Caenorhabditis elegans: one gene and its partner. The protein of the gene in region 1 purifies or fractionates together with the protein of each later gene. This does not show direct contact. Each region holds a gene or a part of one and is shown on either strand. Other genes may lie near its edges.

Region 1 (7,476 bases):
GAAGATTGTCCAAATTTCGAATATCTGAAAATTACATTTTAATAATATTATCTCGAATATGTTATATCTTAATGCAAATTTTATTTTTTTGTTTTATAAATAAATATTAAATTTGTAAAACTTTCTTCTATAGTTGGAAAAAATTATTTTTGAAGTATTCAAGTTTAACTGACCATCAGGAAGTCTTTGATCGTTGTCTGCATTTTCTATGTCCAATGGAACTGGAATATACCATAATGGACCTGATTCTAAATTCCTTGCCGGTTTCATGATATTACAATCTTCCTCATCCGAACTAGCAAGGTAATCTTCAGGCCGAACATTGACTACATCAATAATATCATCTTCTGCATCTTGACTTTTACTAGTCATGTCTTCATCGGCATCCTCATCTTCCATATCAAATTCATTTTCTTTCTCAATATACTTTTCGTTTTCTTCCAGTTCTTGAAATTCTGGAGCAAATGCAGACCAGTTTTCAACATGAGCTTGGGTCCACATTGAAACGGTTCCTTGCGCAATTGATAATATTATTGGACGAGTTGGGTGCCACTGAACATCTAGAAGAGCTTCTCCTTTATTTCCGTGTAGAATCTTTATGAGAGATCCTGTGTTACTCTCCCAAATATACAATGAATGTGCTTTTGTTGATGCTCCACAGACATACAATCCATCACTATCAGTACACACATTCTTCCATGCAGCCTTGTTCACCATATCGAGAACCTTATACTTCGCTTCAACCATTTGTCCTCTTTGATGAAGAAGATCTTCAAGTTCATACGTTCGAATTACTCTATCCTGTGTATTTGTTATGATAAATCGACTCTTCATTGGTACAATTATTTGTCTTATTTGTTGAACAGTGTTTTGTTTACACCAAGCGACACATTTCAGAGTTTCCGCATTATAAATGAGCAGTTTCCCTTTTCCGGTTCCAGCAATAATGTATTTTCCTTTTCGATCATAAGATACGCAGCTAGCCGACTCGTCGCTTGATCCAGGAGTGTCGTTTGCAAGAACTCTAAAAAGTCAAATTAGTATCAAAATCTACATAAAGGAAACCTAAAACTTACGTTTGAATTCTCGGAGAAAATTGCTCTACCGTTGGCTGTTTATTCACTTGAAGAACGATCGCTTTATTGTCATTTCTGGGATGAAACATTGCAAATGTAACCATTGAGTTAAAACGGATTCTGTGAAGAAGAGTTCCGGCAAGTACATCAAACATTGCAATGGAGTTGTCAGCAGAACTTGTGAGAAGTTTTCTACCATCTCGAGACCATGATAAACAGCTGACCGGGAGACAATGGGCGGAAAATGTCTAAAATTCTAAATAATTAGTTTGCATTGAAGAACAATTAATTCTCACTCTGGCAATATTCCTGGTCATAAAATCGTAAATCAGCACCCTGCCATCAGTACAGCCAACAGCAACAATACTTCCCCATCGATTAAATTTGCAGCAGTTCGCAGAGGCATTCTGAAGTATAAAAGGTTCGAATAAAAATACAACAAATCGCTGTTTCATGGAAACTTTAAAAAACAACCCGGCGATCTTAATTAGAAAATCATGTTGAAAACCTAAACTGTATTCCAGTAAGTTCGGAAAATTAACAAACCTGCAAGTCAAGATGGCATTCAAGTTCTTCTGGAAATTGAGCCCCGTATGTTCGATCGAGTATTTCGACCATTTCTGGAAAAATAACAGAATTGAATTAATTCACCCAATAAACAAATAATAAGTTTAAAATATATGTTTGCGATAAATAAGTACTTTAATTATGTTGAATAAATATTAAAAAGTCGTTCAATCAATGCAAAAATTTTTAAATATCGTAATATGGCCGAGGAATGCCCTCGTCCGCGGAGCATGCTCGGCCGTGTACTCCTCCAGGGAAACTAGCCTGTTTTTGTCACCATCGTTCATTTTCTCTTTTTTTTCACAATTTGTGTTCGTTCTGTTTACCAGCAACTGTCGTTTGAAAAATTGTTTTGCAGAGAGCTTTGGGTAAAAACAATATAAAAATAGATAAGTAGCACACCAAAAACGCTCGCCTAAAGCAGATTTTGAATCATTTTGTTTTCGCATAAATGATAGTGATAAGAAACTGGCAGCGTATTAGCTATTTATCATTTTGTCGATTTTCAACTCGATCACTGTCAATTCAGCAATTCCAGAAAACTCCTCTGTTGCTGGTAGTGGTGGGTATTAACAAATTTATTCATTTAATACCAGCTTTTGCTAGACTATTAATTAACTACAACGTTTCATAATTTTTTACGTTCAATTTCAGAGGCAACAAGGATCTGCACGTTTAAAAATGACTTCTTCTCCTCCTGAAATAGTCCCGCAACAGCCATTAGATGCGTTGCTTCTCAACAAGACGGATACAGAGCAGGTTACAATTTGATATTTTTTTAATTTTAGTTCCAATGGTTTATTTTCAGGAAATATTTCTCACAAAATACCCCAATTATGATGGAAGGGATATTTTGATTGCAATTCTGGATACAGGAGTTGATCCATCGTTGCCGGGAATGCAAGTTACAACAACCGGAGAAAGAAAAATGTTTGATGTTATTGACTGTTCTGGAGCTGGTGATGTTGATACCTCGATCACAAGAACTGTCAAAGATGGAGTTATTGAAGGAATTTCTGGACGAAAATTAGCGATTCCAGAGAAATGGAAGTGCCCAACTGGACAATACCATGTAGGACTGAAGCCAATCTTTGAGCTCTACACGAAGGGAGTGAAATCTCGTGTTATCAGCGAACGGAAAGAGGATGTTGTTGGACCGTCTCATAACATCGCAGCTTCGGAAGCTTTGAAACAACTTACAGAACATGAAAAAGTAGTTGGAGGTACCAGCGAAAAAACTTCAGACAAGTGGGCAAGAGAAGACTTTGCGTGCAAAGTTGATTTCCTGAAATCAATGGCTTCTGTAGCCGATGTTGGACCAGTTGCTGATGTCGTCACCTGGCATGATGGTGAAATGTGGAGAGTATGCATTGATACATCTTTCCGTGGACGATTAGGATTGGGCAATGTGCTCGGAACGTTTCGTGAAACTGGCGACTATGCTTATCTTACTAATAAGGATTCTGTTGTGTATACTGTGCGAGTGAGTCCCGATGGAAACCTCACGGAAATCGTCGTCCCATCTGGTGCACATGGAAGCCATGTTGCAGGAATCGCTGCTGCAAACTATCCAGATAATCCTCAAAAGAATGGACTTGCTCCAGGAGCAAAAATTCTCTCACTAAACATTGGAGATCATCGTTTGGGAGCTATGGAAACTGGACAAGCAATGACGAGAGCATTCAATATGTGCGCCGAGTTGAACGTCGATATCATTAATATGTCATTCGGAGAAGGAACTCATTTGCCGGATGTTGGGTAAGACATCGTTAGTCTATTGCTCAGCGTTCAGAGATTTGTTTCAGACGCGTCATTGAAGAAGCTCGACGATTGATTAATAGACGAGGCGTGATCTACGTTTGCTCAGCTGGAAATCAAGGACCTGCGCTTTCTACTGTCGGTGCTCCTGGTGGAACTACAACTGGTGTAATTGGAATTGGTGCTTATTTAACTTCCGAATCAGCTGATACGCTCTACGGTGTTTACAAGCCTGTCGAAAGTAGTATTTACCCATGGAGCTCTAGAGGACCATGGTAAGTTTTTTTTCAGTGTTCTTGAATTTAAAACTTTCATTTTTCAGCCAAGACGGAAAGCTAGGAGTTAGTCTTGTGGCTCCAGCGGCTGCATTTGCTGGAGTTCCTCAATATTGTCGCCAAAGTATGCAAATGATGAATGGAACAAGTATGAGCTCTCCCAATGCAGCTGGAAATGTCGCTTGTATGCTGTCAGGATTGAAGCAGAATAATTTGAAATGGACTCCATACACCGTTCGCATGGCATTGGAAAATACTGCCTATATGCTTCCACATATTGAGTCATTTTCGCAAGGACAAGGAATGATCAAGATCGCCACTGCGTATGAAAAACTTTCCGAGATTTTAGTCAATAAAGTGTTCCCACCAAGACTGACACATTTCGAGATCAATGTATCGAATCACTGCAAGAAATCGAAAGGTGTATATGTTCGTGAGCCTAACTGGAATGGACCGCAGGAATTCACGATTGGCGTTGAACCAATTTTCCAGAATCATCTATCTGATAACAATTTACCTGCAATCAGTTTTGAGAAACAGATTATTTTACAATCAACTGCTCCATGGGTTTCTCATCCACAAACAATGTTTGTGGTAGCTCAAGAAAGAACAATGGTTGTGACCGTTGATGCATCAAAAGCACCAAAAGGTGCAAACTACACTGAAATTGTTGGAATTGATACGGCTGATCCATCATTGGGACCGATTTTCCGTATTCCGGTTACTGTAATCAATCCTGAGAAGGTAGCGGTTGATCAATACACTTCTAGACTTGTTGGTAAATCGGGAGTCACCGAAAGACGATTTGTCGAAGTACCGTCGTGGGCAACCAGTGCAAGTAAGTAAAAAATGAAAATTAAAGAAAATTCTATTAATCTCATCATTTTACAGAGATAACACTCCGATCTACTAACAAAGACGAAATGGATAGATTTACACTTCATACGGTCTACATTGAGGATGATAAATGTTCCCGAAACACAGAAACTCAAAAAATACAGGGTCCAATTGGAAATGAATGGAGCAAGTCGATTACTGTTCAAGGTGGAAAGACTCTTGAAGCATGTGTTGTTCGTGCTTGGTCACGTGGAAAGAATCCTGTGGATGTTGACATGACCATCGACTTCTTTGGAGTCAAAAAGCCAACTTCTATTTCACTGATTCATGGAGCAACTAACACGCCCATTCGCTTCCAAGCTGCTCCAACGAAAAGTATCGACGTTTCTCCTTCGATTTCTCTAAAATCACTTGTTGTATCACTGAAACCACAATCTGCCAAAGTAGAACCATTGGGACCACGTGATATGTTCCTTACGTCTGGACTTCAAATCAATCGTCTTCTGTTGACTTATCAGCTTAAAGGTAACCTTTTTTAACTACATAATTATTAAAATATTATTTTTTCAGTTCAAAAACCAAGTGAAGTGCAACTTCAACTTGCTGGCCTTACTCCATATTTGTATGAATCTCCTGTGGACTGTGTACTCTTCCAAATTTTCGGAGCAAACAAGTCGTTTGTGGGTGCTTCTTCTTCGTACCCGGATCGTTGGACTCAGAAGCTTGAGAAAGGAGATTATACTATTCAGGCTCAGATTAGATATCCGGATGATCAAGTTTTGCAAGGAATGAAGGAACTTCCTCTGCTGTAAGTAATTCTTTAAATTCTAACTGAAATGATTTTTGTGTTTCAGTGTTCATGTGAAACTTGGAAACAAAATTTCTGTTGACCTCGCAGCTTCTGCCAGCGATGCAACACTTGGAAAAGAGTGCAAATTTGCTGGAAAAGCCCTTCTTCCAAATCAAGAAATGACCGTCTACGCTATGAATATCGCTGATGATAAATTGCCAAAGACTATCGTACCAACAAGTGGAAGTTTCCTTGCTGGAACATTTAGTGCTCTCAAGGATTCTGATTTGAGTGATGTAGACAAATCTGAAGTTATTTACTTTCTCAGTGAGTACTCTACTCGTCCTACGAAAGGATTGTCAATGGTTACAACAAAGAAAGATACGAATCAAAATCAGGAAATGACTGGTAGATAATAATTAAAAATTGTATCTTTTATTAAATTCATATTTACAGACGCCATTCGCGATTTGGAAGTATCATGGGTGCAAAAATTGACAGACGAAAAGGCAGCGAAAGAATTTTTCGAAGCTTGTCTGCAGAAGTATCCAGATCATCTCCCACTACTTCAGAATCGAGTAAAGCAATTGATGCAAGCAAAACTTGTGGATCAAACACCGGAAAACGTGCAGAAGATTATTGAATTATGTGGTCAAATTTTGCAAATCACAAAACCGAATGAAACTCTTCAGTTCTCATCCGTCAAGCAAGAACATGATGATGATCTCCTTACTGTTGACAAATGGCTGGCACTAACCGGAGGCAGTGAGGACCAGCGAAAGGATGTGGTGAAGTTGATTTCACAATTTGAGGAACGGAAGAAAAGTATTATTCTCGCTTTGCAAGCTCTTTCATCATTGGAGCAGGATATTGAAGTTCGTAAGAGCAAGTTCGACGTTCCAGCAAGTCTTCGTTTCGGAGGAATCACTCCTCTAATTTTCGGTGGAAAGCAAGGAGAAGTGATCAATAAGAAGTCTGAAGGTTATGAAGCACTGAAATCAAAATCTGAACAAATTGATGCAACTGTCTCTGAAGAACTGAAAAAGTTGGATAGTAATTGGACTGGAAATCAGTTTTACGTCAAGCTTCTCGTTTGGTTGTCTGCTGATGATACTAAAACTGCACTGATCTCTGCCAAACATGCAGCTGCTCTTGGACAATTTGGAAGATGTGCAAAGCTTCTCAACAAAGCTGGAGATGAACTGAAGTCGTCTGCTACTGATTCGCAAGCTGTTGATACATCATTGGCTGAAGTCTGCGAAAGTCTCGAGTGGAATCATCTTGCTACTCACTTTAAAAATTCGGCTCTGATCAAAAACAGAACCTCCTACCGTCTTTTCTAATTAGTGTATCATAAGAAATTTCGCGGGTTTCTTTTTTCTGGAAGCTTTTTTGCTTCCATTTCCGTTGTGAATCAAATGATTTTCCCATTTGAATAGATAAACTTTTATTGTTTTATAAATGAGATCAAACAAAAATTTTGCAGAGATACATTAAAATTATTAAGAAGAAGAATGTTCGAGGTTGCGACGAATTGATGCATGGCATGTACTCACAGAAGTTCCACCCAGTCATGTGGGTGAGAATCTTCTGATATTGGCAGTATGATTTGACAGCACTATTTCCACATGATTTTCTCACTACTGCTCGCTCACATTGTGTGGTTCGTGATACGGAGCTCAAAATTAAAAACTAATCTCAATAAGTCTGAAACTATTAGACTCACTCGCAACTGCCAACTTCCAAAACGGAACATTCAGTATAAATCGTGTCAGAGAGATCATTCAAACTGATTGCTTGCATACATTCATAATATGCCACAACTGAAATATTTATAAAACAATGAACGAGAATGAAAAACCTCACAATCATTTCCATAATTACAATAGAATTCAAGAAACCCCGTTTGTGAGATGTAATAAGCTGCATTGCTTTCTGAACCAAAAATTGCATTGAAAGTGTTATAGTTGAGACAATCATTGATGACGTCACTATGACAGTGACGTAGAGTTGTATATGTACTGTAATTATTCGTCTTTTTTAAAAATATTTATTCTAGCATGTAAAACCGGTTCTATTGAAATTCTTCAATAATTTTACAATTTAAAAGGTGTTGCAATGTTGTAATACCTTCACATACCTACACATTCCAGTGGCATCGTACCGAATTTTC
Region 2 (3,937 bases), 200 kb from region 1:
CGTATTTTTAATTGGTCAAGCCGTTCCGCTTGCTGAGTTTCTCTCAATTTTCATGAAAAACAGTCATCTTATAATAATTGATATTTTACTTAAAAATTGTAGATAAACGCATTTTTCTTGGATGAACGGCAATCAGAGTAGTCTGGTATGGGACAAAAATTAACAATACCGCATACAAAATCTCAAAATACAAAACAAAACCTTTAAAGTAGTATCTAATAGTTATTCAAAAGTAGTACGAAAATTCCAAAATAATTTTGGTTTACTGCGAACTAGGAAAAATTCTCAAGAAGAAGGGAAAATAACATGAGATGGGCGGTTATCAGAAACTAGTGATTATAATATTGGTGCCTAGTTTCTCTATATGTTGCCTCAGTAACGACAGCAAAAATATTATCACTAGAATAAATATCTTATCAAATATCTAAAGAAAACTTCTTTTAAAAAGCAAAAGAGCTGAAGTATATATCACCTAACTAGTAAGTAAGTTTATAAAGCTTCAGTCTTCCACATGATTGCTTCTTTTAAAGTTTATCAAGTACAACAAGTTGAGTCATCTCCCTCTTCTGATCTACTACTATTCACCTCATTAGTTCAAATCATGAGCTAAATTGAATTACATTTATTTACGATTCAAATAATAATCAGGTGATAGAAAACAAAGAAAAATCATCCATAAATTGAAATGTCAACAACAAAACTGATTCATTGCTCTCTTCTGATGTCTGGACGATAGTCCGGGTTGGAAACTTCCGTAATCTTTTGAGCGTACATGTCGAGACGGTTTGTCATTCTGAATCCCCAAGCATCCTTGCATTGACGACACAGATTTAAGTCGAGTTCAGCAATGAGAACTCCCTCACGAACACGAGATAATGCCTGAAAAAAATATGTATCAGATTTGTTCAAGCTATTTTTTTTTAAAAGAGAGAAACAGTTATAAAAATTTTTGAGCAGTTACTCATTGTTGAAGTTTAACCTCAATAAACTCACTGGAGTACGGCTACCATCAGGAGCAGCAATATAACTGGATCCATAAAAGTGACCGAAGTCTTTGTGCGCTGGTTGCCCATTTCCACTGGTAAATTCATTTGGGAAGACTTCAGTGCCCACGCGGTTAATTCCAACTGTGAAGACGTGATTGGCAATGGCAGCATTTCGTGCTTCGATACCCCAGAGTGGTTCACTAAATTTCCATGTTTTTAATGTTTCAATATTGAATCAACAAACCTGAGAGCACCAACTGTTGCTGATGGATTGAAGATGATCTCTGCACCGTTAAGAGCGTACATCATCCAATTTTGTGGATGATGGCGTCCGTAACAAATATTGATTCCGATACGACCGTATTTGGTTTCAAAAACTGGATGACCAAGTGTGGACTCCATATAGTATGTAGATTCATTAAAATCTCCAACTCTTGGAATATGATTCTTTCTAGATCTTCCGATAACCCGTCCAGTATGAGAAATCACAACAGCTGTATTCCAAATAACATCATCCTTTTCTTCGTCTCTTTCCAAAATTGGAGAAATAATCACAATATCATGTTTCACGGCCAATTTAGAAAGGAATTGTGTAGTTGGTCCAGTGTATACAGATTCTGCGAATTCTGTCCATGGAAGACGTTCACGAGTACAGAATGCAAATGGCATTGTCCAAGCTTCTTGAAGTCCAATAACATTAGCTCCAGCGGAAGCAGCAGCTTCAATCATTGCTCCGACACGTTGATGAATTGCATCACGTTGTTCAACGACACTGTCTGTAGTTGGACGGTGGATTTTGTTTTGAATAGCGGCAACGCGAACCTTAAAAAATGGTAATATTTTCAAATATATATAACAAACTGGGACTCTCTTTTTCTCTTTTTCCACCTAATATTTGCAGTGCTCAAAGATTAAGAATGAAAAGCTAAATACGAGAAACAGACAGAACATCTCCCATAACAATATTCTTCCTTTCTACAAAATTGGTTATCAGAAAAGTTATTTAAAACAATTTAATTTTATAATTTCTGCTCACCAGTCTTGGAGCTCTTGTTTGTTCTTTTTGAGCGTCCACAATGTATCCAGACAGTTGGAAATCACCATCTTGTGCTAGTTTTTCCGCAATAGAAGAAATTTCCAGTGCTCTGAAAATAAAGTATTTGCGAATTTTCATTATATTTTAAACAAACCTGTATGGTCTACCATAAAGAATTCTTTCGACTTCATCTAAAGAAACTCCGTCCAATTTTTCAGCCAAAGCAGTTTCAACGCCATCGAATTGAGCCGGAGCTGCAGACATTTTTACCTGAATAAGATAAAATAAATATATAAAGATATGATGTTTCTAGTGAAAATGGACAAATTGCGATAAGACAAGATAAGAAAATGAATTCACATTAAAATTGAATGAACACTATTTATTGGGCAGTATTTGACCTTAAATTTATCGGAACTTGAATGCCATTTAAAGAGAAAGTGGTGTTATCAATTGGAAAATAGAATTTAATCAAGGAAAAAGAGAAACTTTTTTTCGGCGAACACCAAATTTTTTTTCAACTTCTTATCAAGACCGAAATGATAAGATGTATCAGACCAGCAAATTTGATTCTTCTGCGAATCTTCGAGAAAACAAGAAAGAGCAAAAAAGCAAAAGTATCTGATGTTAAAGAGATCCTAACTGAATAGTTTAAAGTCTCCTGTCCTCTCAGAACGACAGCTGTCTCAACACGTGCACCCGTCAGGTCATTCAAAGATATCAATCGAGAGATAGAAAAAAGAAAACATGCAAAAAATCGAAACGTTTATCGAATTGTTTGTAAAAATGAAACAGATCTCAATCAAAAATCAATATTTCGATTATTATTTCTTGATTTTATTTGCTTCTTCAGCCAGTGTGAACCATTGAAGCAACGACCCAAGGGAATGATCTCTTGGAAGTTCGATTTTTCCTTTATTAACATTCACGACAGATTGACTAGACTTTTCCGGGAGAGGCAATGGAGTTGGAACAAGAACATCATCACTTAGTTCATTGCTATTTGTTTGTTTCTCAGAAACTTCTACAACAGGCTCCATAACCCATTCTTGAAGTAAATCACATCTTCCTTCTCGTTTCGGATATTTTCTGTAGAATGCATCCGCAAATTTCTTCGGAGCAACATCTTCCACTCTTAATCCATGAAAACACTGAAATATTTCCTTATTTTTTGGCAATTGGACAAGTACACATACATTATCAATACATGGCAATTCTGCAACATCTCGAAACATTTTCCCGGCTGCATAACTCATTGAAATGAGAATAGCTTCAAGTTCAGCACACAAGTAAGCTCTCCTCTCATCAGTCACTTGTCGTTTCGAATTTTTCACAAGATTATAGTCCGGTTCATGAGGCAACGCAAATAGTCGTTGACGCAAAGATTCGGTTCGTTGACTAGTGTTTTCATCTGAAAATAACAAGATTCTAGATGATGTTCGATTATAAAAATAGAAATAATTTCTTACATGTGAATAGTTCGGGAGCATGTCGATAAAACCGATCTGATTGATATTCGACGAAATCGAGTGTTAGCGGTCGGAATTTTACATCGACTGTTCGGTTTCTGATGACGTGGTGGAAGTCACTAAAACCAGTGTAATATTAAATTTGAATTTAATGCATAGCTTTAAAAAAGCCGAAAAAGTCCTAGTCTAGTTTACAATATGATAGGAATGTTACCTGTAACACGGTTGATTGAGAATATCTTTGAACTTGTCTCCACTGACAATTGTACCTCCATGTCTGGCTGCATACGAAACCACATACAAATCATCATAATTGATAAACGCCCTGAAAAACACGTGACTTGCCCACATTGACTTCATTCCGACTCTGACTCACTTTCGTAGTCCCCGACCACTTCTAGCCGGCGTGAATGTCACAATACCAAGTTGCTCCAATTTCTGAGAAA

Evidence for each region. The genes of interacting proteins can lie anywhere in the genome.
Region 2: the proteins of tpp-2 (region 1) and upb-1 fractionate together in Caenorhabditis elegans (co-fractionation; one large-scale study listed by BioGRID). This does not show direct contact.

What each region holds. Positions count from the first base shown.
Region 1 is NC_003280.10:6,092,050-6,099,525, reverse strand, and holds tpp-2 (Tripeptidyl-peptidase 2), read left to right. Parts: upstream 1-1,928; 5' UTR 1,929-2,094; coding exon 2,095-2,205; intron 2,206-2,297; coding exon 2,298-2,402; intron 2,403-2,451; coding exon 2,452-3,401; intron 3,402-3,448; coding exon 3,449-3,676; intron 3,677-3,723; coding exon 3,724-4,514; intron 4,515-4,567; coding exon 4,568-5,038; intron 5,039-5,083; coding exon 5,084-5,321; intron 5,322-5,367; coding exon 5,368-5,711; intron 5,712-5,759; coding exon 5,760-6,646; 3' UTR 6,647-6,770; downstream 6,771-7,476. Other genes in the region: rbbp-5 (Retinoblastoma-binding protein homolog 5), read right to left, coding at 1-24, 174-1,024, 1,077-1,324, 1,373-1,483, 1,623-1,694; nspg-3 (DUF19 domain-containing protein), read right to left, coding at 6,771-6,981, 7,030-7,126, 7,170-7,324, 7,444-7,476. UniProt on the Caenorhabditis elegans protein: Component of the proteolytic cascade acting downstream of the 26S proteasome in the ubiquitin-proteasome pathway. Has a role in regulation of fat storage.
Region 2 is NC_003280.10:6,287,806-6,291,742, forward strand, and holds upb-1 (Beta-ureidopropionase), read right to left. Parts: upstream 2,293-3,937; 5' UTR 2,287-2,292; coding exon 2,177-2,286; intron 2,132-2,176; coding exon 2,023-2,131; intron 1,809-2,022; coding exon 1,231-1,808; intron 1,187-1,230; coding exon 994-1,186; intron 880-993; coding exon 706-879; 3' UTR 607-705; downstream 1-606. Other genes in the region: nyn-3 (RNase NYN domain-containing protein), read right to left, coding at 2,847-3,173, 3,219-3,433, 3,492-3,610, 3,706-3,816, 3,868-3,929.